Xenopus tropicalis: one gene and its partners. Each later gene encodes a partner of the first gene's protein in a complex. Links are inferred from orthologs where the notes say so. Each region holds a gene or a part of one and is shown in the gene's direction. Other genes may lie near its edges. The genes, in order: rbbp7, cdk2ap1, chd4, cdk2ap2, hat1, chd5 and eed.

Region 1 (4,203 bases):
TTATGCGGCTCCTGACACAGCGCGACAGGCCCTTTTATAAGGTTGCGCACCGTGCGTACGTGTGATGTCATTACGCACGGGGTGCAACCTTATAAAAGGGCCTGGCACCGCCGCATAAGGAGAGAAGTCGTAGACGAAGACAGAGCGCCTATGGGGTACTGTGTATGGGGGGCTACTATGTATAGGGGGCACTGTGTATGGGGGGGCTACTGTGTATAGGGGGCACTGTGTATGGGGGGGTACTGTGTATGGGGGGGCTGCTGTGTATGGGGGGCTGCTGTGTACGGGGGCACTCTTTATGGGGGGTTACTGTGTATGGGGGGGCTACTGTGTATAGGGGGCACTGTTTATGGGGGGCTACTGTGTATGGAGGGACTGTGTATGAGGGAGCTACTGTGTACGGGGGACACCTGTGTATGGGGAAGCAAAACTGCTACATAGTTATAACTCACTTATAACTGATTGCCTTCTCTCTATATTTGTATTTTAATGTTGGAGTTGCTATATTGTTTTCCTTAGGTAGTACAGTATGAGGGTATAGCACATTTGCGTCTGATCCCACCATTTCATCTATATAAAAGGAGTATTTCTTTTTAAAATGGGGTGTGGTAATTGGGGCGTGGCAACAAAAATGGGCGGGGTCAAAATTGCCTCCAAGTCTTTTTGTCCCTCTTTTCATTTTTCAAATGTTGGGAGGTATGCTTAGGGTAGCAAACCAGTAAAAAATGACATTTAAAACAAGCATTACGAAGGTGGGCTTTTACTTCCAGAAGAGATTTGCACCCTAGCCCATCCAGGCTATCCTGCTATATCTACGTTTTCCAGAACACAACACCAATTGAGTTTTCCTCTTTCCTATTAATCGCAACCCTATCCACTGCCAATTTTGTAGGCTAAGCTGTTAAACCCCGAGGTCTGCGGCACTGAATACATTTCGTTCTGATAGTGGAAGATAGCAATTCTAACGATCACGAAGCTCCCGCATCCCTTCGGCTCAAGCTTTTGAAAACTCTATCTTCTACATTTCCCTAATGAATGCTGCTCCACTGCTTGAGAACGGGAAGGTTCCTACTTAAAACAAATGTTATCGGTATAATAGGTTCATACTTCCTACAGAATAACTACCTAAAATTATTACAATTCACTCCGCACATTAGGAAAAAAAAACACGCTACTACTTTACGCCATGCCAAAATTAAACATGGCCGCGAAACTTTCGGCCTCCCCGCCTCCTTTTACGTAACCAGGTTATTTTCCTCTGATTGGTCAGCCTTGTCCTAGCGTTTGGCGCTAGCCCTTGCGTAAGCGAAGGCGACGGCGGCGGCGTGCCTGTCTGTAACTTTGGCGGGGGATGTTGATGCTGCGTCACTGGTAGTCTTTCTTCTTCTTGTGAGTGTTTGGCGCGGGAAGCTGCAGCAGGACCGGCACAAGCGCGGAACACTGGGTTTTTAGTCACCGCGAGGCCGGCGGCCCTTGCATCTGCACAGGAGTAGAGAAGATGGCGAATAAAGAGAGTAAGTGGGCAGAAAGCTGCTTTATGAGCACGTTTTGGGTTTCTAAAGGGACGGTACTGGGGATGCAGGCATGCTATCCGGGTGCTACCGATTATGACACAGTTTTATATTAAGAAGCTGTGGCCGCTTTGTTTACTGCACCGCTTGTGGTGTGTATGGGAGGCATACCGGATTCTCTTAGGCCTTATCCTACCGCGTAGGCTTGCTGGCTACGGTCCCTATTGCTGGCCTGTAAGGCTCTGGGCCCTCAATTAGAAGAGGGAGTTTATAGTTTGGCACTGTAAGTCGCTACATTTAGTTCCACTACAAGCCAGTTGCCAGGCAGTATTAAAAAATGTAAGATGGGGGATCGACAAAGTGATGAGAATTTTAAGTTAAAACACATTTAGAAATGTAGGTATTGCCTTGTGTAAAGTTGGACTGATCTTTCTTGGGAAACAGAACCAGAGCTTTCTTACTTGCACCACAATAAATGTATGGCATGTGTAACTTTGGTCTGACAGGCCAGACGGCATCAGATACGCTTGTCTGGTGTCTGGTGAAACTGGTAGAATTCTTCACAGGCTGCACACACCTATTCCATCTTTAAACATTTCCTTACATTAAATCCTCCTGTTCTTTTGAGTGATTTACTAATGAGTAAGGTATCGGGCAAGTTTTTTTTTTGTATGGAATCATTAGAAATGTGTTCCTTGTGCCTGAAGTTGTAGAAGTTTCTGCGCCTACAGGGGCAAGTGTGCCTCATAAGCAGGCAGATAGGTTTTTGAGGTGCTGTGGCTCTTCCTTGAGGGCCCATAACTGTTAAACATGCACAGGGCTTGGGCTAGTGTCAGATGATCAGCATCTCAAAATAGAGAACACAGTACAGTTATCCAAAATGCTTGGTACCAAGGGTATTCTGGATAAAGGATCTTTAAGTATTTTGGATCTCCATACTTTGTCTACTAAAACAATCAGTAAAATATTAAATAATCCCAATAGGATTGTCTTGCATCCAATAAGGAATAATTATATTATTATTATGCTCTCTTCACCTCTTGTATTGGTTATTTATTGCTTTATATGTTACTCTGTATGTCCAATGTATGAAACCCACTTATTGTACAGTGCTGCAGAATATGTTGGCGCTTTATAAATAAGTGTTAATAATAATAGATCCCATACCTGTACAGGGTTCTCCTATGGTTACAGTACAGGTAGATAAATGCCAGCTGATACTGATGAATGTTGTGATAAGTGTTCCAATAATCACTTTATCTTTTTGTTAAAGGGATAATGAACTTGCGGTGTGTCTTGCTGGACACTGGCTATATGGGCACTGACTGATGTTATGGTGCATCCTATAGATCTGGGTCTGCCCAGCAAACCAATGCTGCTTTCTTCCAACCATGCTAGTTAATCACCGGTGCCACCTACTCCACTTGGTGTAGCTGTTCCGTCTGTGTATTCAGAGAGGCTTCAGATGGGGTTTTTTTGCCTTCCTCTGGATCAGCTAGTAGTTTGGCAGGTTATATATAGGCATTATGGTTGAACGTGATGGACGTATGTCTTTTTTCAACCCAACTTACTATACTATGCTGTGTAGTTCTTATTTCTGGTAGAGCACAGTGGGGAAAATATGTCACTCAAATGATGTTGGATTAAGTTTACTTAATAAATTATCTGATGTTTACATTGAAGCAACTCTGGTTCAACAACAATACATTGGCTGCCTAGTTATACATGCACACCTTATGCAGCATGTAAATGTTTACAAGCAATCAGTGCTGAGAGGTTTGTTAACAGCCAAGTTTTTGTACGTCTGTTTGACCTGACTAAGCAATTTAATGGTTTTTACTGAATTCAAACAGTAATGCATTCTATTCTGAAACATTTTATAATTTTTTTTTCTCTCTAGTGTTTGAAGATACAGTGGAAGAACGTGTCATCAATGAAGAGTATAAGATATGGAAAAAAAATACCCCATTTCTGTATGACCTGGTTATGACCCATGCACTTGAATGGCCAAGTCTAACAGTTCAGTGGCTCCCGGATGTGACTAGGTGATTTTTTATTTTTAAATTCATTTAATAGCAAATTTTAGTTGTTTTACATGATATTTAAAGCATGGTTAACACCTATTGCATTTTAAATACAACATAAGTAAATTGAAAATAAAAAATGATTGATGAACTTTGTATAAAATACTTGTGAAAAAAAACTTTAGTTCCTAGTTGTTGCTCTGTGCTGCAACCAAATACAATTGTAGAAATGCAAAAAATAGGAAAAAAACTTCAGCAGGTTTACTGCAAACCAGTTATTTTGGGTTGTGGTAACACGACATGTTTCGGGTCAATACCCTTTATCCTGCTGAAGCTTTTTTCCTATTTTTTTGGATTTCAACATTATTAAATTACCTAAGGAGCTGTGGGTAGTATCTAAGATTAAAAAATCTATATCATACTTAACAGATTGCCGCTGCCTTTAAATTTTATTTTCTAGATCAGTGCTTATTTTCAGCAAAGTGGGCCAAATATCTAACATTAAATTTTTAGGGGCTTAATTGTATTAACATTTTTCATCTTGTCTATGTGTACTGTGTATACTGTATACAAAGCGCAACAAGAAGCAAATTACATTTGCACATATTTATTAAGTGAACAGTATCCGTACCACAATACTTATATCTTAATTCCAGTACTAAATTTGC
Region 2 (2,547 bases), on another chromosome or scaffold:
CCGGCGACTGCTCTTGTTGCCAATGGAAAGCGGGTGACTGAACCGCCATGTCGGTTCTTACCCTAAACGTGTTTCCTAGCCCTGCTGTATTTATTTGAATTAGGGTGATCGGGCACCATTTCCCTTAATAGCTCTCAATGCTATCTCTTCTCTTAACCAGAAGTCAGCAATTGTTGACAGCATTATAGTGAGCTTTGTCAGTTGTGAATATAAATTTATGTCAGCTGGAATAGGAAGAGAAACATCAATTAACAATGCAGATGCTATTATGAATTGTGGTCCCAGAAGCTGCTTTTACTTCCGGTTTAAAGCAGAAACAAACCTACAAACATTTTTACTCTGCCTGGTTCCTGATTTCTAAAAATGATTTTGGGGAAAGCAAATAAAAAAACAAAGGGCAGTAGAGGGAACTTTACAGGCTGTAGAGTGAGTTTACAAAACAATACCTCTCCCTTTCATACTTCTTCTTGCCTTCCTGTATTATTTGCTTTTTAGCACAGGTTTTCAAGAGAGCAATATCTCCGGGAATATCATCTTAAACCAACAAATGTATTTTTATTTTACTTGTAATATTGGTGTGTAGGCAGCCATCTCAGTGCATTGTGTGAGTCTAAGCTTTCAGAAAGAGCCAGAGCTTCATATTAGAACTGCATTCAGGAAAACTATTGTTTCTCTTACTCCCATGTAACTGGAGGAGTCCCAAGCCAGATTTCTCAAGGTCCCCATACACGGGCCGATTCTAGCTGCCGATATCGGTCCCTTAGACGATTCGGCAGTTAATCGGCCCATGTATGGGCACTACCGACGGGCCTGCCCGACCAATATCAGGAGTCGGGTGCTATAGCCCCGAGTCTCACACTTAAATCAGATCTAAATCAGATGTGTAGACACGAAAAGGTTTGTAGGTGGGGGATATCGGGAGAAGATCCGTTCGCTTGGCAACATTGCCAAACGAGGGAGGGGTGTGATATCACTCCAGCTCAGCAGTAAAGTGTGACTGAAGCACAGGTCACATGGCTGTGGCACCCTGGAAAATAAAGAATATGGCTAGCCCCATGTGAAATTTCAAAATTAAATATAAAAAGACAGCCCTTAAAAACCAGGAACATGCATGGGTGGGGCTTTTTATCCAATATAAAAATAGGAGCATGGATATAACGCCTAATTCAAAGCTTTATTAATGTAACATGGGAGGAAGGTAAGAATAAAGTTTGGAGATGTGAGGAGATCCAAGGATTTCTTTCACTTCTGCTCAGATATGCTCTTTAGAGACATCAGGCTTGTGAACAAAGCAGTGCTATTTAGCCAACAGTGTGAATGACCAGTTGAATATCGGTTTATTTGCTTGTGCATAACACCCATTAATGACTAGTGGGTTGTTTTTTACTTGACCACATCTGGAATCTTTTATTGTAGGTTTCTAATAGTAACCAGGTACCTCAGAGCAAGTATGCAGAGCTTCTTGCCATAATTGAAGAGCTGGGTAAAGAAATTAGACCAACATATGCTGGCAGTAAAAGTGCTATGGAGAGACTTAAAAGAGGTAAGAATAATATATTTTCCATGTCATTTATATTTCGTTGTTTTCTTATTAAATAACAATGAAAGATTAGTTATCTGGGGGGTTGATTTGTTGGGTATGTCCAGAGAACCTTATTTGTAAGCTTGGAACCAGGGCTAGCATTTCTCTTTGCAAAGAGATGCACCAGCTCAGGGGACTTGTCAGTAGAACGCTGTGGTATCATCCTTGTCTATATTGCCAGTGCTGGACCAGAGCACATTTTACCAGGCCATTGCATCTTCTTCCAAAAAAAAAACAAAACGCTACGCTGTAAACAAAAACACTTGTTCAAAGTCCTCCTCACAGTAAAAAGTCATGCATCATATCATGATGTGCTTATTGTTTATGATGGGAATACTATTTTTATCATCTAAGACAGTGCTGTCCAACTTCTGTTGTACCGAGGGCCAGAATTTTTCCGACCTACGTAGTGGAGGGCCGATAATGGAAGCCAGTTTTGACCACTCCCCTTTTTGAAACTGCACCCACTTGAAACCACACCCATGTTATCACATGACCATACCCATATTAATGGTTGTAGTACAGCAAAAACCTGCCATACTCTGCCTGCCCTACCCTGCCTTTGTGTGTGCCATACTCTGCCTTCCCTACCCTGCCTGTGTGTGCCATATTCTGCCTTCCCTACCCTGCCTGTGTGTGCCATACTCTGCCCGCCCTACCCTGCCTGTGTGTGCCATTCTCTGCCTGCCCTACCCTGCCTGTGTGTGCCATACTCTGCCTTCCCTACCCTGCCTGTGTGTGCCATACTCTGCCTGCCCTACCCTGCCTGTGTTTGCCATACTCTGCCTGCCCTACCCTGCCTGTGTGTGCCATACTCTGCCTTCCCTACCCTGCCTGTGTGTGCCATACTCTGCCTGCCCTACCCTGCCTGCGTGTGCCATACTTTCACTGTGTGTGCCATTCTTGGCTGGTTTGTGCCAAACTTGGCCTGTGTGTGCCATACTCTGCCTTCCCTACCCTGCCTG
Region 3 (4,019 bases), on another chromosome or scaffold:
TATGAGGTACTTTAATAGCCAATTTAGAAGTTACTGAGTGATTTATACTTAGTTAGCTGGCCTGGACTGGCAATCTGCAGATTCTGACAAATGCTAGAGGGGCTACTATAACATGCCAAAAGACAGTCACTATCTATTGCGCTTGTGGGGGGGCTGTTTGGGCCTCTGTGTTACTTGCCAGGGCCTATCTTGAATATTAGCCTGGCCTTGCTAGTTAGTACCATGATGTCTGCCTCTGGCCTCAGAGGATCCTGTTATAATGTTAATGGCACATTTATGAGGTATTTCAGTAACCATTTTAGTTACTGATGCTGAGGGATACTGAGATTTATTCCTGGTAGTAGATAGTATAAACTTACTACCGGTAGCACATTTATAGTAGCCAAGTTAGAAGCTGAAGGCATACAGAGATTTATCCCTAGCAGTAGTAAGTAGTATAAAGTTACTTGCACACATATATATAAGGTACTTTAGTGGCCAAGGCAGGGAGTTGTCACTGAAGCTGAAGGCATACTGAGATTTATCCCTAGTAGTAGTAAGTAGTATAAAGTTACTTGCACGTATATATAAGGTACTTTATTATTACAGGACTCCATTATCGGGATACAAGGAACAGATGTAGCCAGAATTGTGTGCCACAGATGACCGGATGCTATTTAGGGTATATTTTAGAAGCAAAACATTATGAAGGCCTCCAGTTATTATAGGGCCACAGATATTATGGGGCCCATACAGGAGGTTGCCCAGGTATATCAGTGTTACCCTGGAGAGAAGCTATTAGTCCAGGGCCATAGGAACCCTGTATTTGGAACCACCTGACAATGTGGAGAGGTACTCTGATAGGAAGGACTTATTATGGGATGCTGAGGGTAATGTTACTTACTCTGGGATGCCAGTGTGACTATTATGGGATGTCAGTCTGTGTCTCTTGTCTCTATGGCATGTCAGCAGGACATATTATGGGATGTCAGGCACCCTTAGGTTATTATGGGATGGCAGAAGTTGGTTATTATGGGATGTCAGGCTCCCTGGGTGTTATTATGGGATGCCGGGAGGTATTATGGGATGTCAATCTCACTCATGTTATTATGGGATGCCAGATGGAGTATTATGGGATGGCAGGCTCTCTCGTGTTATTATGGGATGTCGGGGGCCGCCCATCTCCCCGGCAACGCGCTGGTTGCTATGGTAACTGGGCGGGGGCAAGGGAAGGGGCGGGATTTTTACCATCACTGCCGGTGTGTCGGGGAGAAAGGAGCGGGAGAGGCACCGGCTGGAGGCAGCGCATGTGGAGCGGGTATGTGAGGGGCTCTGGGGGGGGAGAGGCGGCTGGCCCGGCTCGGGAGGGCTACGGGCTCCTTCACGAACTTACCGGGATTGTGTGTCCGGCGGGGGGTTCTGTCAGGCTTAGTTCCGGGGTGTCTATTCCCCGCAGCGGCCGGAGGGGGGGGGGAGTGGGTGACATGGGGTGTCCCTCCGGCAGTCCGCCGGGTACTCCCAACTTCCGGCCCCCCAAGTGCCGCCTCATGGAGCCACAACTGCGTCCCCTGCCTTTCTATTGTGTTCTGCCGGGACCTGACCCGGTGTGCCCCCCTCGGTACCGGCCTGATACTGACCCGGTGTGCCCCCCTCGGTACCGGCCTGGTACTGACCCGGTGTGCCCCCCTCGGTACCGGCCTGGTACTGACCCGGTGTGCCCCCCTCGGTACCGGCCTGGTACTGACCCAGATGGATCCTCTCAGTACTGCCCCCCTTCATTACCAGCCCTCCCCTCCCCCTCACTACCAGCCTCATATTAGTCCATTTCATTCTGTTATTAACCCATGTGTTCCCCACTCGGTACTGGCCTGGTACCGGCCCATGTGTGTCCCCCCTTATGGGTTCAGTACCTTCAGTACCGGGCCCATGGACCCCTGGCCTGTGCCCCCCCTCCTTATACTGTACCATGATCTACCCCCCCCCCCCTATACCATCAGGATTGTGGCCCTTCTGGAACCTTTTCATAGTCCTGTGTAGCCGCAGTGGCCACTTGGGGCCAGTAGCCCATACAAGTCTATGCCCCACATAGGTCTGTAGCCCCAGTATTAGCCAGTGTCTCTGTACCATGTGTAGTGGCTGCAAGCCCCCTGTGTAATATATATCCTCTGGGATATACCATCTGGAACTCGTGTGACCCATTCTGGCGCTTGGCAAGCTGGATCCATTCCGTGTTGCCCCAGGGGATGTATGGCCCATGGGAGCTGTGTCCGGCTCTGTGATACTGAGCACAATGGCGTGAGTCTGTGTGCATTCTCATAGCCACTCGTAGATCCGTGCTTCTGGCCTATAGAAACAAAGCAGCGTCCCTTGGCAACTGGAGGGATGTAGTTGAACTACAAGCTTGTGCTTATTTAATGTGTCCTTTGTCCTTCCCCGTCCCTGTGCTGCTGTATGATGTGAGGCCTTTGCTAATTGCATCCCCTCCTAATTGTGACGTCGGCTGTTTCTGTGCCACCACACATTACCTGGCCAGCATGGCTTCTCAGTAGCCTAGTGCCACTGGAGCAGATACCGGGCCTGTACTGATGGCACATTTGGGCCTATGGGTTTATATATAGTTCTGTGAATAAAATAAGCTTGTACTTACCCATGTGTCTCTCCTCACAGCACCCTGTCCAGTGCCAAACAGTGAGCCCCCCACCTCAAACATCGCCTGCTGTTCTCTGCTGCTACTTCTCACCCCCTGGTGCCATTTTGCTCCGTCTTGGACATGGCCTCCAGTCTGGGACCTTCTTCGCCCGGCAGCGACGGTGAAATTGAAGTGATGCTCAACAGCAGCATCCATCAAGGTAAAAGAACCGGAAACGGACCCGTGTGTGTCGTGCCTGTTTTATAAGTGGGAAAGGAGGTGTCTGTATTGATTTCCCATAGTGTGTGTTGTAGGTTGGTGTGTGGCTCTAGTAGCCAGTGTTGAATTTGCATGGGTTGTATATATAACAATGTGTAGGCCTTCCATTGGGACAGAGCCCACAGTGACCTGGCTGGTTCTGGACGCCGGGTTCAATATGGCAATTTATTTATACTATTTCCTGTGTTCCATCATCTTTGGGACTGATGTTAGGGACTCAGGTCTAGGCCTCCTGGGCATATGGGTAACTGCTTGTTAACCCCTTTTTGGTATGGTCTGTGGCCTGAACTGATTGGCTGTCAGATGTCTACTGGCTAATACTGTATAGAGTGCTCTTTGTAAAGGTGCATTTAGGCAGTTGTGGGCTCAGCCCAGGCATTGTTTTGCTTCAGGGTGTGTACATTGTACTGGCTCTCTGGGTTCCAGTATGACGCCATTTATGTATACATTTGGGTGTCACAAAGGGAATGAAGTATTGAGTTGTTAAGCAAAATGAGTGTTTGTGGGCCTGCATCAGTTTCTGGCGCTTCTGGCCCTTTAAGGACTTGATGCCTGGATTTGTGCACATAGCTCTGCCTTGTGGGTTCCTTGGGGCCCTTTGTAAACCCTTTAAGAGTACTGGTTATGGTTCTCTCCGGACCTTCCAGCCTCCGTTTATTTGTTTTTATTATTTACAATAACAAATTTCTTTAATTCTGTGAAAGTGTTTTTAAAATAGCAGAGCTTGAAAGGGCAATGCAGATAGTGCTGGGGGGGGTGACTGTTGGCATACCCCCCCCCCCCTTCCCCATGGTAGCTGTCTGCCCTAAACCACAAAGCAGGTAAATGGCCCCTGGAAATGACTGTTGTTCCTAGGGATCCAGCCAGTGTTGCGGCTCTGGTCGTATGGGGTTATCCATTATAAATACTGACCTCTGTGCCCTGGATTGGGGATTGGTCTCACACCTATGCTGGCCATATAAACAGATGGTGGCATGTTCTGTATTTATTGGCTATGGTGTGTGTTGGAAATGCCGGATTCTGGGTCTGTGGAAAGCATGTAAAGTGTAAACAGTGTCCCCAGAAGCAAAGTGGCTTCCCGTGTAGTTGCCGGCAGGCTGGCGAGGAAGGGGAGCCACTTCCTGCAGTTGTC
Region 4 (4,125 bases), on another chromosome or scaffold:
TAATTGCTCACTATAGCAGATATAAACAAACAAGGTGTTGTTGAACTTAGTTTTTCTGCACTTTATTATGTGAAAACTAGATAAATGAATGTTCTGCTACAGGTATGGGATCTGTTATTTCCAAATTACGGAATGGCTGTCTCCCATAGACCCCATTAATAATCAAATAATTCTAATTTTTGAAAATGATTTCCTTTTTCTCTTTAATAATAAAACAGAACGACGTACTTGATCCCAACTAAGATAGAATCAATCCTTATTGGAGGCAAAACAATCCTATTGGGTTTATTCATTATTCAAATGATTTTTTAGCAGACTTAAGGTATGGAGATCCAAATTACAGAACAATCCCATTCTGGATAATAGGTCCCATACCATACCTCTCAACATTTTGAAAACAGAAAGAGGGGCAAATTTTTTTGACTATGCCCATTTTTGAAACCACACCCCCTAAATACCACTACCATTTGACTAATTTGGCAGGTTATTTAAAGGTTGAACACATTTCTGGAGGTTTTGGGGTCCTGTTTTATGTGTTATTAGTTTTGTTGAAAAAGCTAAAATTGTCTTTTAAGCTGCAAATCTCAGATCCCCCAAGAGACCTACTCTCTGCCAAAAGCACACTTAATTAAATTTGTATCTTTTTTAGCTTCAGTGCAGGAGATCAAAGGGAAATGAAGGACTTTTCCAGTAAGAATTCAGGACTGCGGGTTAAGCTGTCAAAAGGGACTGTCCCTCGAAAATCGGAATATTTGGGAGGTATGCCATACCTGTATTTGCATTTTCATTTTTAAAGTTGAAACTGTTCACTCATATACACTTTGCACTTCATTTTATAACTAAATGAACAATTTAAATATATGATCAGGAGTCAGTTAATAAAATATACTAAACTATATATTGTTTTTCTTTTAAACACTTATCTTTGCATCGATATAAGGGTTCTGGAGAACAACTACACCAACATGCTTGGGAGTAAAAAATTTCTTGTGGCAAACAAAAAAGACCACAAAACAGAAACATTGGAGCAGCTACTATTTATTCAACAAACGAATTGTTATTAATTTCTCTCTTACAGCTAACTAAATTACTATGTACCCAAAGCACTTTTGACTAGCTTCCCAACATCGCCCTTTTTAAACTCATCCAACAAATACTGCAGTAACGTGTTGAACCCCATACACAAGCCAACAGCAGACGACGCAACCAGTTTTATGTCGCGCCTACAGACTCTGTGCGTGCAATTGTTCACCCCTTCCGCATCCACTCCGTCAGACGCACGTACCTACGTATATGGTCCTTGAATACAGGATGTAGTACCCCGCAGGACGCAGAGGCAAAGCAAGCGAATGGTAGGTTGCTTTGTCAGCAGAATTTGAGCCCAAGGGCCTGAGGATTTCTATCTTCTTTAAAAAATGATACATCACATCCGGGCTCCGTTCGTTAATTTACTGGTTTTTGACAGTTTTTTTACTAGGTCGCCTAGTGGGTAATCCGGCCTTGCGGAAGAGGCACGTCTCGGTAGTAAGGTGTCTAAAGTCGAAGGGTGAGCGTAGTAGTTAAAGCATGTCGTATAAGCCCATCGCCCCTGCGCCTTCTGGGAGTAATAGTGCCCCTGGCACTCCAGGTAACAGAGTAATATAGGTTGGTTTATAACATTTTTTTTTTAAAGTTTTCTTTAAAGGTAAATGGCACGACTACAGATTATTGGTATTTTGGCGCTCTGTGGCAATTGTCGGGACCTGTAGGTGTTGCAGGGATAGTCACCAGACCCCCAAGGGCAATGACACAGCACCTGAAAATACGTTGATGTCCACATAAAAGGAAATTGCTGTGTCTGAGACAGTTTACTTGCGTACACTGTTGTAATAACATGAAAATGCAGTGAAAGTAATTTTTAAGATATTACCTGTGTGCAACTTTTAGATCTCTACATTTGCATTTTACAGTACTACAAGTTTGGCTGAATAAAGCCTGAAATTGCTATGTATATCAAAAAAGGATATAACAATTTATTTTTTAATATATTATTACCTGTTAGCGCTGCTTACTAACTGGTAAATTGATTGTGGCAGCACTGAGGGTAAGGACTATTTCTAATTTGTACTTAGAATTGCTGTGTGTGCCATTTTTCTAATGCTGCAAGACTTTTGTTTGCTTTAATTCAATTGTATCTGCTGAATCTCTAGAATATCAAGCATACTTTTAGGCTTTGCCAGCATTTACTTATTGTTGCTTGGTTGGATTTCTCAATTTTACTTCAGCTTTAAAAATCTATTGCATTTAACTGTTTTATTAGTGTTAAGATTTATCTTTAAGATACATTATAAAATATATATACATTTATTTTTTATAATATTTATAATTTATATACATTATAAAATCCAAGCAGTTTTTTCACTGATATGCCCAACTAAGGTGGCCAAACGATTTGATCAACAGCAGGATACAGGCCATCAGGGCGAGGACTTCATCAATGAACCGATGCAGGCAGATACGTTGCCGAATTGGTCTGAATTTTAGGGATTAAGTCCATGTCCTTTAAGGTGTCCATACACTGTAAGATCTGCTAATTTTGCAAGGTTGTTAAGCAAGTGGATCTTCTGATATGCCCACCTATGGCGGGCATAGGTGCCATTGGTTCAGGGACTGCATCAGCGAGCCGATCCAGTCCCTGATCCAACTGAAAAATTAAACCTGCCCGATCGAGATGGGTATTTATCTGGCCTAAAATCAAAGAAATTGAGCCGCCCTATCAACAATTGTCTGACAAGTCCACCTGCATTTGCTTGTGATTGGCATTTAAAGAGGCAGTGTACCTCCTTGTTTAACTTGAGTTCAGTGAATAGGACTTGTATGTATGTATTTATATTTTAGCATCCTTGTAATAGACTGCACCACCACTGCAATATCTCCTTAAAAGCCCTTATTGAAAAAAGGGTTCTGACCCACAGCAATGTTTCAGACCAACACTGGTGTTTTATCAAGCTACTGAAACAGCTAATATCCGTACATTTTTATAGTGTGATACAGTGACTATTGGTAAAATTGGTAAATTACAAACCATTCATTGTGAAATATTTCCATTTCAAACTACATAACTACCATTTGTTATATTTTAAACATTTTTACTTTCAGAGGCTTTTTGTGCATTAAGCCATCCCCATCATCCTTAAAATAAGCAACCTGCAACAAAAACAGATACATAAAACCCCAATTAAAAGCAAAAATTTAAAACCCATAATTTATTTTTCTCATTAAATCACAGATAAATCTTAAAGGAGAAGGAAAGGTAAAAACTAAGTAAGCTTTATCAGAAAGATCTATGTAAATACAGCCATAAGCACTCACAGAAACGCTGCATTGAGTTCTCTGTCAAAAGAAACAGGATTTGTTGTCTCCTTGTTTTTCTCTGCCAGAGACAGGCAGCTCTCTCCCCCTTTCCTGCTCCCCCCCCCCCTCAAGAATGCTAAGAACTCCTTCCCCTTCTTAGGAATGTGTGATCTGAGCCAATCAGCAGGAAGATTCCTCATAGTCTTACAAACTGATCATGTACAGTGTCTTGGTCTTGGTGCAGGAGCGAGGCATTATGGAAACTTTCTTTACAGAGCTCGGAGTTGTTTTTTTTTTTTTTCCTATGAGGCTTCTGATCATCTGAACCGGAGAAATATGGGGAGACCTAAGGGCACTATTGAGAGAACTGAAGATATACCTGCATCTTGAGATGAACTCTTTATTAGCCTTTCCTTCTCCTTTATATCAAATTCTCTATTGAGGTCATGGGGCATTAATGTCTCCAAACTACGTATCCATCTTGCTTCTTTATTCAGTAAAATTCTCTATCTATTAATACTAAAAAAAATCAAGCTGTCTCTTATTTTCTCACTACAGGCCATGAGGTGCAACAGTTAAAATTCCTGATCATTGATAATGCCCCCCCCCCCCCAAAAAAAATAGAATGAGAATTTTACTGGAAAAAGAAGCAAGAAGGATACCTAGGTTGGAGATGTTAATGCCCCATGGCCTCGAAAAAGAATATGATTTAAGTAAGATTTGTCAGCGATTTAATGAGAGAAATAAATAATAGGTTTTACCTTTTTTTTTTGCTTTCAATTGGGGTTTTAT
Region 5 (4,007 bases), on another chromosome or scaffold:
TATAGGACCCGTTATCCAGAATGCTCGGGACCAAGGGTATTCCATATAAGGGGTCTTTCCATAACTTGGATCTCCATACCATAAGTCTACTAAAAAAAACAATAAACAATTAATTAAACCCAGTAGGATTGTTTTGCACCTAATAAGGATTATATATATATATCTTAGTTGGGATCAATTACATGGTATTGTTTTATTACTACAGAGAAAAAGGAAATCAGTTTTAAAATTCTGAGTTATTTGATTAAAATGGAGTCTATGGGAGACGGGCTTTCTGGATAATGGGTTTCCGGATAAGGGATCCCATACCTATACAGTAAGATCAGTGTACAAAATACAGCATTTCTAGTTATGGTCCTTTAGGCTTTTGCTTATTATAAGTTAAACAGGTCACTGTGTTCTCTGAAGATATGGGACCTGTTATCCAGAATGTTCGGGATCTGGGGTTTTCCAGATAAGGAATCTTTCTGTAATTTGGATGTCCATACCTTGGGAATAAACCCGGTAGGATTGTTTTGCCTCCAATAAGAATTAATTATATCTTAGTTGGGATCAACTACAATGTACTGTTTTATTATTACAGAGAAAAAGTCAATCATTTATAAAAAATTTAATTATTTGCTTAAAATGGGAGTCTATAGAAAATGGCCTTTCCGTAATTTGGAACTTTCTCCCTTCATGACGTCAGAGATGGGCAGGGTTGGACTCATACCTACAAATACTACTGACTCCCCAGGTTGGGTGCTGGTCAGCCAGCACATCACCAATTGGTACTCCATTGGATAGCAACTGCAACAGAGAAATATCAATTTGTGCATTACACATGTTAACTTTGTAAAACGTAACTTCCTTGAAGAAATGATGGTATGGTAGGAAGGAAATATAGACACCTGTTGCATTATTATATTATATACAGTTACTGATGTTGTATAGCTTTGGGCAAGCAATTTTTCATGTACAGTGAGTGGCATTTTCCATTTATTTCACTGAAAAGTTTGTAGAATTATTATCATTGTCTTTCATCAGCTGAAAGGGATAATAATATCAGTAAGAGAGACGTAATGTCCTGCTTTTTTTTTTTTCAAGTTTACAATAAAAACATAGAAACTCCTTTGTCTGTATAAGTCTCTATTCCTCACAGTTTGAAATTTATCTTCTCTTTTTTTGTTGTGGTTATTGAATTATTTAAATTATTTGTCCTGCAGCTGTCAAACTTGAAATTTCAACTGATACGCCTAACAACCAGGAAGTACTGTAAAGTCAGATGGCAAATGAAGAGTACAAGGCCCAAACAGAAAGAACCAGATTACCAGATAGCCTTTTAGGTACATACTACAAATATATACAGTACATTATATGCTTGATTTACAGGAATAGTTGTGAATAGTAGGCACAAGTAAAGCAACCTATAGCAAATCAAATCTAATTTATTTGCTTGATGTAAGTTTGACCAAAGAAAGCAAATGTCTGCCAAATGTCCCATACAGAATTATATACATTCTTGGAGTACAGTTATCGGACCCCTTATCCGGAAGCCCATTATCCAGAAAGTTCCGAATTATGGAAAAATCATCTCCCATACACCCATTTTAACCAAATAATTCACATTTTTAAAAAATGATTTCCTTTTTCTCTGTAATAATAAAACAGTACCTTGTACTTGATCTCAACTTAGATATAATAAATCCTTATTGGAGCCAAAACAATCCTATTGGGTTTAATTACTGTTTAAATATTTTTTTTAGCAGAGTATGGGCCGTGACACACGGAGATTATTTGCACCGCGACTAATCTCCCCGCAATTCCATCCCACCGGCTACAATGTAAGTCGCAGGTAGGGTGGCATACGCGGCGCCGCGATTTGCCTAAGTTTCCTCTCAAGGCGACTTCGGGAAATTGTGGCGCCTCATATGCCATCCCACCGGCGAATATATATATTTATTTTGCCACCATTGGGATCATACTTATACTGAGATCTCAAACTGTTGTTGGGCTTTTGGCTTTCTTATAAACCCACTCTAATTTTTCGGTCAATGTTCTTTCCAATTAAGACCCCTCTGGTTCACAATAGACATCACCTTCAGTGTAGGGAGCGAGTGTCCTGTATATTACTAACATTGTATGGGGTTAAGCCCTAATTTATTGTACCCACTTTCATAGCAATACATAACAACTCTACAAAAATAAAAATATTACAATCCCATTATTTTTTTTATAGTAAGCATTGACTTAAATATAATGATTACATTTTGTCCCTTGGGGACATTTTATTTTTTAAATGTTTATTTAATATGCCAACTCAAGTGTTTTGCTTTATGAAACATGACAAAATGAAATGGAAGAGGCAATAATTTTACAGGCTCTTGCGTGTTTGACTGTTAGTTATAGTTTGATTGTTATGTATGTATATGTAAGACTTTAAAGTAGAATTATTTACCTTGATAACTTTAAAATCCGGGCTCCCCTTGGTTGTCAAGAAGTGAGTTTAGGGCTTAATACATAAACACCCATGTTCTGTTCATTCTTATGGGACTTTTAAAAGTGCATTTATCAATGAGTGGAAGTTAGAGTTCACCATTTGATAAATACTCTTCTAAAAATCCCATAGGAATGAATAGAACGTGGGTGAGTTCTTATGTATTTAGCTTTAAACTCACATTTTCATAAATCTGCCCCTAAGGGGCTGATTTACTTACCCACGAACGGGTCGAATGGAGTCCGATTGCGTTTTTTTCGTAATGATCGGTACTTTGCGATTTTTTCGTATGTTTTGCGATTTTTTCGGATTCTTTACGAATTTTTCGGATCCAATACGATTTTTGCGTAAAAACGCGAGTTTTCCTATCCATTACGAAAGTTGCGTAAAAAGTTGCGCATTTTGCGTAGCGTTAAAACTTACGCGAAAAGTTGCGCATTTTTCGTAGCGTTAAGTTTTACCGCTACGAAAAATGCGTAAGTTTTAACGCTACGAAAAATGCGCAACTTTTTACGCAACTTTCGTAATGGATACGAAAAACTCGCGTTTTTACGCAAAAATCGTATTGGTAACGAAAAATTCGTAAAGAATCCGAAAAAATCGCAAAACATACGAAAAAATCGCAAACAGTTCGTTTTCAAGTCGGAACTTTTCCAATTCGGGTCGGATTCGTGGGTTAGTAAATCAGCCCCTAAGTGTTGAAATAGGAAAGTGCTTTTACATTGTTGGGCGATGGTAAAATGTCTGCAAACCCACAATTAGTTTTATGAGTTTTTAGATATTTTGACTGCATCTAATCATACATAAGTGCAAATATACATATTTATCTAAAATTATTAACTGGCTGCCCTAATTATTGCTTGCTTATTCTTTAGGTCTCTCTGCTATGGAAAAGAAATTAGCCGAGTACAAATGTGACACAAATGAAGCAATAAAGCTAAAATTAGGTATGTTATCATGCAGTTTATTACCTTAACTTGACTTTAATATACACTTTATGGAGTGTAAAATTAGATTTTATTTAGAATGGTTTTGCTCCCTTTAACTGGGATGTTCTGGTGAAAATGTATAAAACATTATGAAACAGGCAGAATATATTGCCATTTTAATATCAGTGAAATTCCTAAAACAATAACAACTAGCTATTTTTTTGATACAATAAAGCCTAATTATCAAAATTCGTTTTTTCAAAATAGAAAAAAATATGAAAACATTAACCAAACAAATTTGTACTGATTTATTAAAAAACTCAAGTATAAAATTAAACCAATTAAAAACACTTGAATGCAGCAAATTTGCAATCTACTTATAATTTTCAGCGGGTCTAACTAAAAAAAAGGGGGGTACTATTCTTTTGAGCGCTAAGCCACGATCTTGCCTCCTGTCCCTAGAATCCCCTGAGGTTCCCCTGCAACACACACAGTTGAGTAAAATCAGATCTTGGAAAGTAAAATCCAAACACTTAGGCTAATGTCCCACAGGGATATATAGTCACTGCGATTTTTAAAAAGCGTGTTGCTCGTCTTTTCCT
Region 6 (3,988 bases), on another chromosome or scaffold:
AGAAAATGCATGTACCTAAGGTGCAACGGGGCGGGGGGGGAGGGAGGGGGGTGCACTAGGCCTAGTGAGGACTTCACTTAGGGCAGGAGCAGGTGCAAGACAATAAATACAACATACCAGATACGGAAGTGAGTCATAGTAAAGTTAGGGGCTGGGTGGGAAGATAGCAGAGTTTGGCCAAAACGACTAGAAAGAATATTTGGGTGTTGGGTAAACCCATGAGTTTTGGGCCTGCCTGCACATCACTACTAGGCGCATACCACAACTGCCAACCCATTCTTATTTTGGATTTCTGTAAATTTACAAGAAGTCAGTGTGCCGACTGGCTGCTGAGGTTGGAGCAGCACATGATGGTGACGAGCAGAGGAGGCTTAGGGGGGTGGCAACAAGCCTGGAGGGGCAAATGAATGCAGTCTTGTCTTGGGAGTCCCTTTCATTTGGCACAGGCTTGGGGAGGTAATTTTTTTTTAAATAAACCCACAAGGGCCATACCTCTGAAGCTGCTACCCCAGGCACATACCCACAGGTGCTTATAAAAATATGCCCCTGGGGGTAAATAACCCTAAGCAAGCAGAGATGATTTAACTTCTTAGCATTAGACCTGCAGACCAAAAAAAATGTAAATAATTTAAAAGCCACAAAAAATGAAAACCAGTTGCAAAAAAAGAATTCTGCTATCTGTGCCACACCAAAAGATGAAAACCTTCAGTCTAATTTGAATTTGCACAAGTAGAAGCAGCCATGCAGGCAGGCAGCCATCCTCCTCAGAACCAAGAGGGAAGTACAAGGCAGTTAGAATCCTGTGCAAGGAAGGATTTTTTTTTTGCTCAGCACTTTTCAACTTTGCCTGAACTTGAGAAGTCTGAGTACCTTCAGCACTGTGTGTATAGTGAGGCATTCATTTATTCACTTTCCATCCGACTTTGCAGCCTGAAGGAGCACAAGTTCATTTCCCTGTGGCAACAGCAAGCAAAATAAATCTTCTTATTATTAACATTTATTCTCAGTCACAAACTTGCACCCCTCGCAGCCCCCCTGGCAAAGCCCTGCCATCCTCTTCTCGAACGCTTCTTCCTTCTCTAACTAGTACTGGACTTGGTCTCCTCTGGCATCACGACTAACTAGTTCTGCCAAAATTATGGGATGTAGTTGCCACGGTAACCAGACTGGACGTCACATTCTGGGCATGTGTATTCCATTTTTGTCTCTCTCTCTTTTTCGCTCTCTCCTTCTCTCTTTTATTTTCAGGCTGGGGGATTTAGGCAGAGAGAGGGAGAGAGACAAGGGGGATATTTTCTTTTCTTAAAAAAAAAAAAACTAGGCAGCCATCTTTCTTAAAAATAAACCTCACCCTTTTGTACCTCCAGTCAGCGGTAGGCAGTGGCGGCTGGAGCACCTCTGCACCCCTATGGGTTAATATCTCAAGCCTTTTTGGGATCCAGATTGCGAAAGAAACTGAAATTGATCTGGGGAGGAGGAGGTGGGATATGCGGGGTCCGCTGGGGATTGAAGAGGACCCGATAGAAGAAATGGAGAATGAAGAGATGTCAGGTAGGCTGAATAATGAGCGAGTGAGGGGCCAAGTGTTGAATGGAGATTGTTAGGAGGATTACAGGGATCTCAGGGCAAGGTGCTGCGGCCGGTGGGTCCCAGCCGGGGAGGGAAACAGAGCCCCTTACACTGGGGCTGCACAAGACATGAAGGGAGGGAACCGAAACCGGCAAATCTCTCGTTTTGTTAATAAAGGATTGCTTTGTCGTTTTAAAGTTTTGCGCCTCTCCAATCCCGTGCAGGAGGGCGAGGAAGCAAGACAAAGATTGTCTGTTAGTATTCATGGCCACCGGGGACAAGTCACCAGGGAGCTTATTACACACCAAACCCAATAGGAAGCCATAGAGAGGCATGTATATTGGCAGCATTTATTTCTTAATACCGGCGCCGTCCCTTTGCTTCTTGTGCTTCCTTTCCTTTTTTATTCTTTGCATTGCTGAACCTTTGCATGGATCGGCAGCAGAGAAAATGGCTGTGATGTGCTTTGTTTTATTTGACTGTAAGCACATTATTTATGCACTCAGCGGCTGCTTGGGCATGTATTGGTGCAGCCTGTCATATTTAACCTACACATTGCTGCCATCTGATCCCTCTGCAAGTCCTACTTTACTAACAACTTGTCTTCTCATATAATGCTAAAATCTAACTGTTACAGATATATCATTTCTGTATAACCTAGGTACCTTTCTGGAACATGGTTGTAATATTATGTCATGATTGGAACAAATCTTTTCATTTTTGGCCCCTGTTACTTTATTATCAAGTGTAGGAAAGTGTACTACTTTTACTTGGATAATAATAATACAAAATCGTGGTCCGAAATCGATTTGGAGTGCTAGGTTGGCAGCAACAGGACACTGTTCCCAAAGAATATTGGCAATACTTTTTTAGACAGCAAAGGGACAAGTGTTTTTATTTTCTTCCCTTTCCTTGTTGTAATGTTTTGGACATAAAGAGGTTCTAATTGCCCAACATAACCACGCCCAGGTTCTTCCATGTGCGTAGAATAAAAAATGTATTCAGCACTGGAAGGCGGCATTGGGATCTGTCACTGTTAATGCCAGTCCTGTTGGGAAATAGCAAGGGAGAACTTCATCCAGGAACTCCAGCTCCATTCACTTTAGAGAACTATATCCTACTGTGTGCTTCTGATTGTGCCTAGCGGTGAATGAGATTCAGCTCAAACTGCACAGTTGCACATCTTGATTTTGATGTAGTACAGCCTGATCCAGATTTAAAAGAGATGTGTTTTAATCATTTGGCTGTAATCCAGATTCAGCTCATGGCATGAAAATGTGCTTTATGTGAAATCTACATAGGAATTGGTGGTATGGTGGTCTGGAAACAAGTTGCCCTATGCTTCCGGTCCATTTGACTCAGATTTGATTGCATTGTGTGAACAGGCAGATAAATGTCTGTTCACAACTCTGTTCATAGAGTTGAACGAGGTGTACTTTAATCCAACTAGTCAGAGCAAAATGACATAGTTCAGATAAGTTGGATAAGCGATGCAAAGGACTGATTTAGACTCATTTTATATGTCACTGAGCATATTTTGACACTAAACTTGAAAAACACATGACAGTTGGCATTTTACAACTTATCTACCTTAAGGGTCACCTGTCTTCAGAAAACAAATTTCAATGTTGTATAAATATCTATTTAAAAAAATATTAAATCCCAGGAAAAACTGCAAGAAAACCTTAAGCATCCCACTATACTATATTGTTTGACATTGTTCCTCTGTCAGTGGCCTCTCCCCTCTATAATTTTATTGGTATAAAGCAATTCTATTGTGACGTCACGGTGCTGGGAGGGGGGTTGTTTGTTAGTCACGTAATGTCTGTCTCATTTTCTCAACTAGTTGATTTTGAGATTGAAAAAGGGAGGCTTTTACTTTTAAAGAATACAAAAATGACAATAGCCTTTGTTCCCATTATCATGTCCTTCATATATTAATTATCCCAGAAAAAAAGCATTTTCCTACTTTTTACCAAGATCTTTATAGTTTGTATTGTCATTACCAGTGCCATAGCAATTAACCAATAATATTACTGTACAGGTATGGGACCTGTATTCAGAATGTTCTGTTTATATGATCCCATACCTATATAAACAACAAATTATACAAAGTTCTCTAATTGGCATGAGGATAAGTAAATGAATAGGTTTCCCAAAATAGCTCAGAATTAGCTTTTTCTGGAGAAACATTTTTTTCTCACAATACCTTTATGACCTTCATAGGTGTCCTGATATTAGAGCAGTATTTTATAGAACATGTCTATATTAGCTTGTTAGGAACCCAGCTGTGCTTTGTGCTCTAACACTGACTGTTCATGTATTCACTCTCCCTGGCATAGGCTTGGAAGTAAGACAAGATAAAATGGACAAAGTATCCCCTACTGTGCATAATAAGGATATTATAGGTCACCAGGGA
Region 7 (3,500 bases), about 74 Mb from region 1:
GTACAGCTGGGGTGTTTGCTACAGAAACCCTACTATAGTTTATATAAATACCCCGCTGTGTAGCCCCGGGGGCAGCCATTCCTGCACTGGTACAGCTGGGGTGTTTGCTACAGAAACCCTACTATAGTTTATATAAATACCCCGCTATGTAGCCCCGGGGGCAGCCATTCCTGCACTGGTACAGCTGGGGTGTTTGCTACAGAAACCCTACTATAGTTTATATAAATACCCCGCTGTGTAGCCCCGGGGGCAGCCATTCCTGCACTGGTACAGCTGGGGTGTTTGCTACAGAAACCCTACTATAGTTTATATAAATACCCCGCTGTGTAGCCCCGGGGGCAGCCATTCCTGCACTGGTACAGCTGGGGTGTTTGCTACAGAAACCCTACTATAGTTTATATAAATACCCCGCTGTGTAGCCCCGGGGGCAGCCATTCCTGCACTGGTACAGCTGGGGTGTTTGCTACAGAAACCCTACTATAGTTTATATAAATACCCCGCTGTGTAGCCCCGGGGGCAGCCATTCCTGCACTGGTACAGCTGGGGTGTTTGCTACAGAAACCCTACTATAGTTTATATAAATACCCCGCTGTGTAGCCCCGGGGGCAGCCATTCCTGCACTGGTACAGCTGGGGTGTTTGCTACAGAAACCCTACTATAGTTTATATAAATACCCCGCTGTGTAGCTCCGGGGGCAGCCATTCGTGCTGGAAAATAGGAGAAAAGGCACAGGTTACATAGCAGATAACTGATAAGCTCTCTAACCTGTGCCTTCTCTCCTTTGAATGGCTGCCCCTGGGGCTACACAGCAGCTTTGGTTATATAAACTATAGTAGGGTTTAAGAGCCAAACACCCCAGTTGTTACCAATACATTATATTCTAATTACTTTTATACACTTTCATTTTTTGGGGTCACTGTTTCTTTAAATTGAAGCAGGTTATTTAGCAAGCTGATTAATCCTCTTATTTACATTTCTTTTTCCTAGTGTAAAGTGGGTGGAAAATTTCTGTTGCATTAGATTATTCAGCCACAAAATCAATTTGTGCTTATTATGCAATGGTGTTTTTTTTTTTCCATTCCTGCAGGAAGATCACAATCAGCCACTGTTTGGGGTTCAGTTTAACTGGCACAGTAAGGAGGGAGACCCGCTGGTTTTCGCTACTGTTGGAAGTAACAGGGTATGTATGGGAATGTGATGGCAAGCTATTTACAATGAGGGGGCAGCTGGGGCAGGGTTTCCCTTTCATTTGCCAGTCATTTCACTTAAGGGGAATTAGTTTGCCTAGTAAAACTATACATCTATTTTTTTTTATAGAACCTGGACTTTCTAATTGTTTTGTTTAATTCCACTTCTTATGGGTCTAAAAAAAAAAAAATAGATGTTGCCAGTTTGCATAAGATGTGTTTATATAGGGATATATCACTAAAATGTTCTATATGTGAAAATACTGATACTATTTACTGAATAAAACTGATTTCGAAATCTGCATGATTCATGAATGTGCCAATGCCAAATATGTATAGTTTTATGGAGTGTCAATAAAGTGATTAAAGAGGCCAAAACGAAAAATTTGCCTGGGAGGCATTACTGTTCCTTTACATAAAGATTTAATAATGCAAGTATAAGGTAAAAACTTGTTTATAAAAATGTTAATGAGGCTTTTTGCAGCTATTGCTCTAGGGCAGTGATCCCCAACCAGTGGGTCGTTAGCACCATGTTGCTCCCCAACCCCTTGGATGTTGCTCCCAGTGGCCTCAAAGCTGGTGCTTATTTTTGAATTTCTAGTTAGGAGGCAACAAAGGGAAAGTTGTGCTCAACACTGCATTTTAAACCATTAGGCGGGGGTGCAATGAGGCTGTGACCACACAATTCATATTTGATGTAGTTGGCCAGCCTAAATATATTGCTATATATGGAGTAACAATCCCTGTTTTGTTTGAAGGGGAGGGATTCCTTCGTTCCACTAGAATGATCTAAGGATATTTCCTTAGATCATTCTAGTGAAACAAAGGAATCCCTCCCCTTCAAACTATGGGTTATTGCCCCGGTGCAATGCAGCAGTCGTGTTGGTAATTGATGCCTTGTATTTTCCTGCTTTCTATTCATTAATATTTGGTCTGCGTTGGTTATTGATGATATAATTGCACCTAGGCACACTACTTTTTGAAATGGTGTTGCAGAATGCAAGTCCATTGGGATGTTTTTCTCATTTGAAATTTTGATGTAAAGGGGACATAGTGTGTGAAAAACAATATGAATTGGACTCATAGAAGGAATGTGTTTTCAAATGTACTGTTTAGGGCTGATTTATTAGAAATTTCAACAAAAACCCCACTAGTCCCGCCCATCTGTTCCACTTCCTGCTGCCTTCTTTCCCGGGCTGTGCAGGGGGGCCAGTGGCACTCAGCACACTGCACTGTAGGATAGGAACCAATCAGCAGCTAGGCTGACCTGATAGGGAACTGGAGCCTTCCTTTGCTTGTGTGACTGCTGGGCTGTGATTGGCTCTCCCCCTTTTACTGTGCTTCCGGCAGGGACATTTAGGACATTGCTACTATTATATACTATATATACTATTATATATTATAAGGTGTTCCGGCTTTCTGTATATTTCTGCGAGATATCGCTATGCATATCCGTGGCCCCTCTGTTCTAAGAATGTTTGTTTTTCTCACATAGGTAACGTTATATGAATGCCACCCACAGGGGGAAATCCGACTGCTGCAGTCCTATGTGGACGCCGACGTATCCTTGACGAGTTTTGCTTTTTGCTGAAAATATTTGGAATTTGCAGTTAATTGTTGTTCACGGTTACAATCTAGGTTCCCAATCACATTCACACACACACACACACTAGTTGTTTCAGAAGCCAGGTTACCTGGCTGTATGTATTTGGGTGTGGGAGGAAAACAGGGTACCCAGAAAAAGCCACACAAACTCGGGGAGAACATACAGACTCTTTGCAGAGGAGCCTAGGAACCCGGCGCTGCAGGATTAAATCCAGGATTTGGTTCGGGATTTGGCCTTTTTCAGCAGGATTCAGCTGAGTCCATGGACCTGGCCCAACAGAATCCTTTAAGTCACATGACCTTTTTGTCACATAAACACGGAAGTTGAAACATTTTCACCTCGTACTTTGCATATGGTTCTCTTTAACCATTCCACAGCCTTATTTGTATATTCCAATTAGGGTTCGTTATTTAGCCAAATCTTTTATGATGGATTCAGGGTTCGGCCATATCCCAAAATAGTGGATTTGGTGCATCCCTAATCTTTAACCTGGGTATTTGTGACCCCTCATGTTAACTGGGAGTGTGCTAATAGTCAGTAAGAGCAATTAATTTAATGATTCAGACATTATCTATCAGTGGGGAATTGTGGGTGTCATGAACTGGGGTGCCTCTCCGCCCTTGGGTCTGGGACTGCGACGGATTCCATGTACAGCTTTTTCTCTCCTTAATTCTTACATTCAGGCAGATGAGAACTTTTATACTTGC

What was found.
Region 2: rbbp7 (region 1) and cdk2ap1 share a complex: the UniProt entries of both Homo sapiens proteins name them as parts of the nucleosome remodeling and deacetylase (NuRD) repressor complex. The link is inferred for Xenopus tropicalis from reciprocal best matches to the Homo sapiens genes RBBP7 and CDK2AP1.
Region 3: rbbp7 (region 1) and chd4 share a complex: the UniProt entries of both Homo sapiens proteins name them as parts of the nucleosome remodeling and deacetylase (NuRD) repressor complex. The link is inferred for Xenopus tropicalis from reciprocal best matches to the Homo sapiens genes RBBP7 and CHD4.
Region 4: rbbp7 (region 1) and cdk2ap2 share a complex: the UniProt entries of both Homo sapiens proteins name them as parts of the nucleosome remodeling and deacetylase (NuRD) repressor complex. The link is inferred for Xenopus tropicalis from reciprocal best matches to the Homo sapiens genes RBBP7 and CDK2AP2.
Region 5: rbbp7 (region 1) and hat1 share a complex: the UniProt entries of both Homo sapiens proteins name them as parts of the type B histone acetyltransferase (HAT) complex. The link is inferred for Xenopus tropicalis from reciprocal best matches to the Homo sapiens genes RBBP7 and HAT1.
Region 6: rbbp7 (region 1) and chd5 share a complex: the UniProt entries of both Homo sapiens proteins name them as parts of the nucleosome remodeling and deacetylase (NuRD) repressor complex. The link is inferred for Xenopus tropicalis from reciprocal best matches to the Homo sapiens genes RBBP7 and CHD5.
Region 7: rbbp7 (region 1) and eed share a complex: the UniProt entries of both Homo sapiens proteins name them as parts of the PRC2/EED-EZH2 complex. The link is inferred for Xenopus tropicalis from reciprocal best matches to the Homo sapiens genes RBBP7 and EED.

Annotation. Positions count from the first base shown.
Region 1 is NC_030678.2:94,690,838-94,695,040, reverse strand, and holds the start of rbbp7 (histone-binding protein RBBP7), read left to right. Parts: upstream 1-1,403; 5' UTR 1,404-1,498; coding exon 1,499-1,514; intron 1,515-3,411; coding exon 3,412-3,556; intron 3,557-4,203. UniProt on the Homo sapiens protein: Core histone-binding subunit that may target chromatin remodeling factors, histone acetyltransferases and histone deacetylases to their histone substrates in a manner that is regulated by nucleosomal DNA.
Region 2 is NC_030677.2:161,142,306-161,144,852, forward strand, and holds part of cdk2ap1 (cyclin-dependent kinase 2-associated protein 1), read left to right. Parts: intron 1-1,416; coding exon 1,417-1,543; intron 1,544-2,547. UniProt on the Homo sapiens protein: Inhibitor of cyclin-dependent kinase CDK2. Also acts as a component of the histone deacetylase NuRD complex which participates in the remodeling of chromatin.
Region 3 is NC_030683.2:10,084,815-10,088,833, reverse strand, and holds the start of chd4 (chromodomain-helicase-DNA-binding protein 4), read left to right. Parts: upstream 1-1,219; 5' UTR 1,220-1,297; intron 1,298-2,646; 5' UTR 2,647-2,749; coding exon 2,750-2,828; intron 2,829-4,019. UniProt on the Homo sapiens protein: ATP-dependent chromatin-remodeling factor that binds and distorts nucleosomal DNA. Acts as a component of the histone deacetylase NuRD complex which participates in the remodeling of chromatin.
Region 4 is NC_030683.2:59,556,217-59,560,341, forward strand, and holds the start of cdk2ap2 (cyclin-dependent kinase 2-associated protein 2), read left to right. Parts: upstream 1-1,325; 5' UTR 1,326-1,352; intron 1,353-1,465; 5' UTR 1,466-1,566; coding exon 1,567-1,627; exon of another isoform or gene 1,628-1,644; intron 1,645-4,125. UniProt on the Homo sapiens protein: Acts as a component of the histone deacetylase NuRD complex which participates in the remodeling of chromatin.
Region 5 is NC_030685.2:67,598,447-67,602,453, reverse strand, and holds the start of hat1 (histone acetyltransferase type B catalytic subunit), read left to right. Parts: upstream 1-1,207; 5' UTR 1,208-1,264; coding exon 1,265-1,325; intron 1,326-3,351; coding exon 3,352-3,423; intron 3,424-4,007. UniProt on the Homo sapiens protein: Histone acetyltransferase that plays a role in different biological processes including cell cycle progression, glucose metabolism, histone production or DNA damage repair. Coordinates histone production and acetylation via H4 promoter binding.
Region 6 is NC_030683.2:98,649,840-98,653,827, reverse strand, and holds the start of chd5 (chromodomain-helicase-DNA-binding protein 5), read left to right. Parts: upstream 1-1,188; 5' UTR 1,189-1,487; coding exon 1,488-1,551; intron 1,552-3,988. UniProt on the Homo sapiens protein: ATP-dependent chromatin-remodeling factor that binds DNA through histones and regulates gene transcription. May specifically recognize and bind trimethylated 'Lys-27' (H3K27me3) and non-methylated 'Lys-4' of histone H3.
Region 7 is NC_030678.2:168,816,792-168,820,291, reverse strand, and holds part of eed (polycomb protein eed), read left to right. Parts: intron 1-1,087; coding exon 1,088-1,180; intron 1,181-2,682; coding exon 2,683-2,748; intron 2,749-3,476; coding exon 3,477-3,500. UniProt on the Homo sapiens protein: Polycomb group (PcG) protein. Component of the PRC2/EED-EZH2 complex, which methylates 'Lys-9' and 'Lys-27' of histone H3, leading to transcriptional repression of the affected target gene.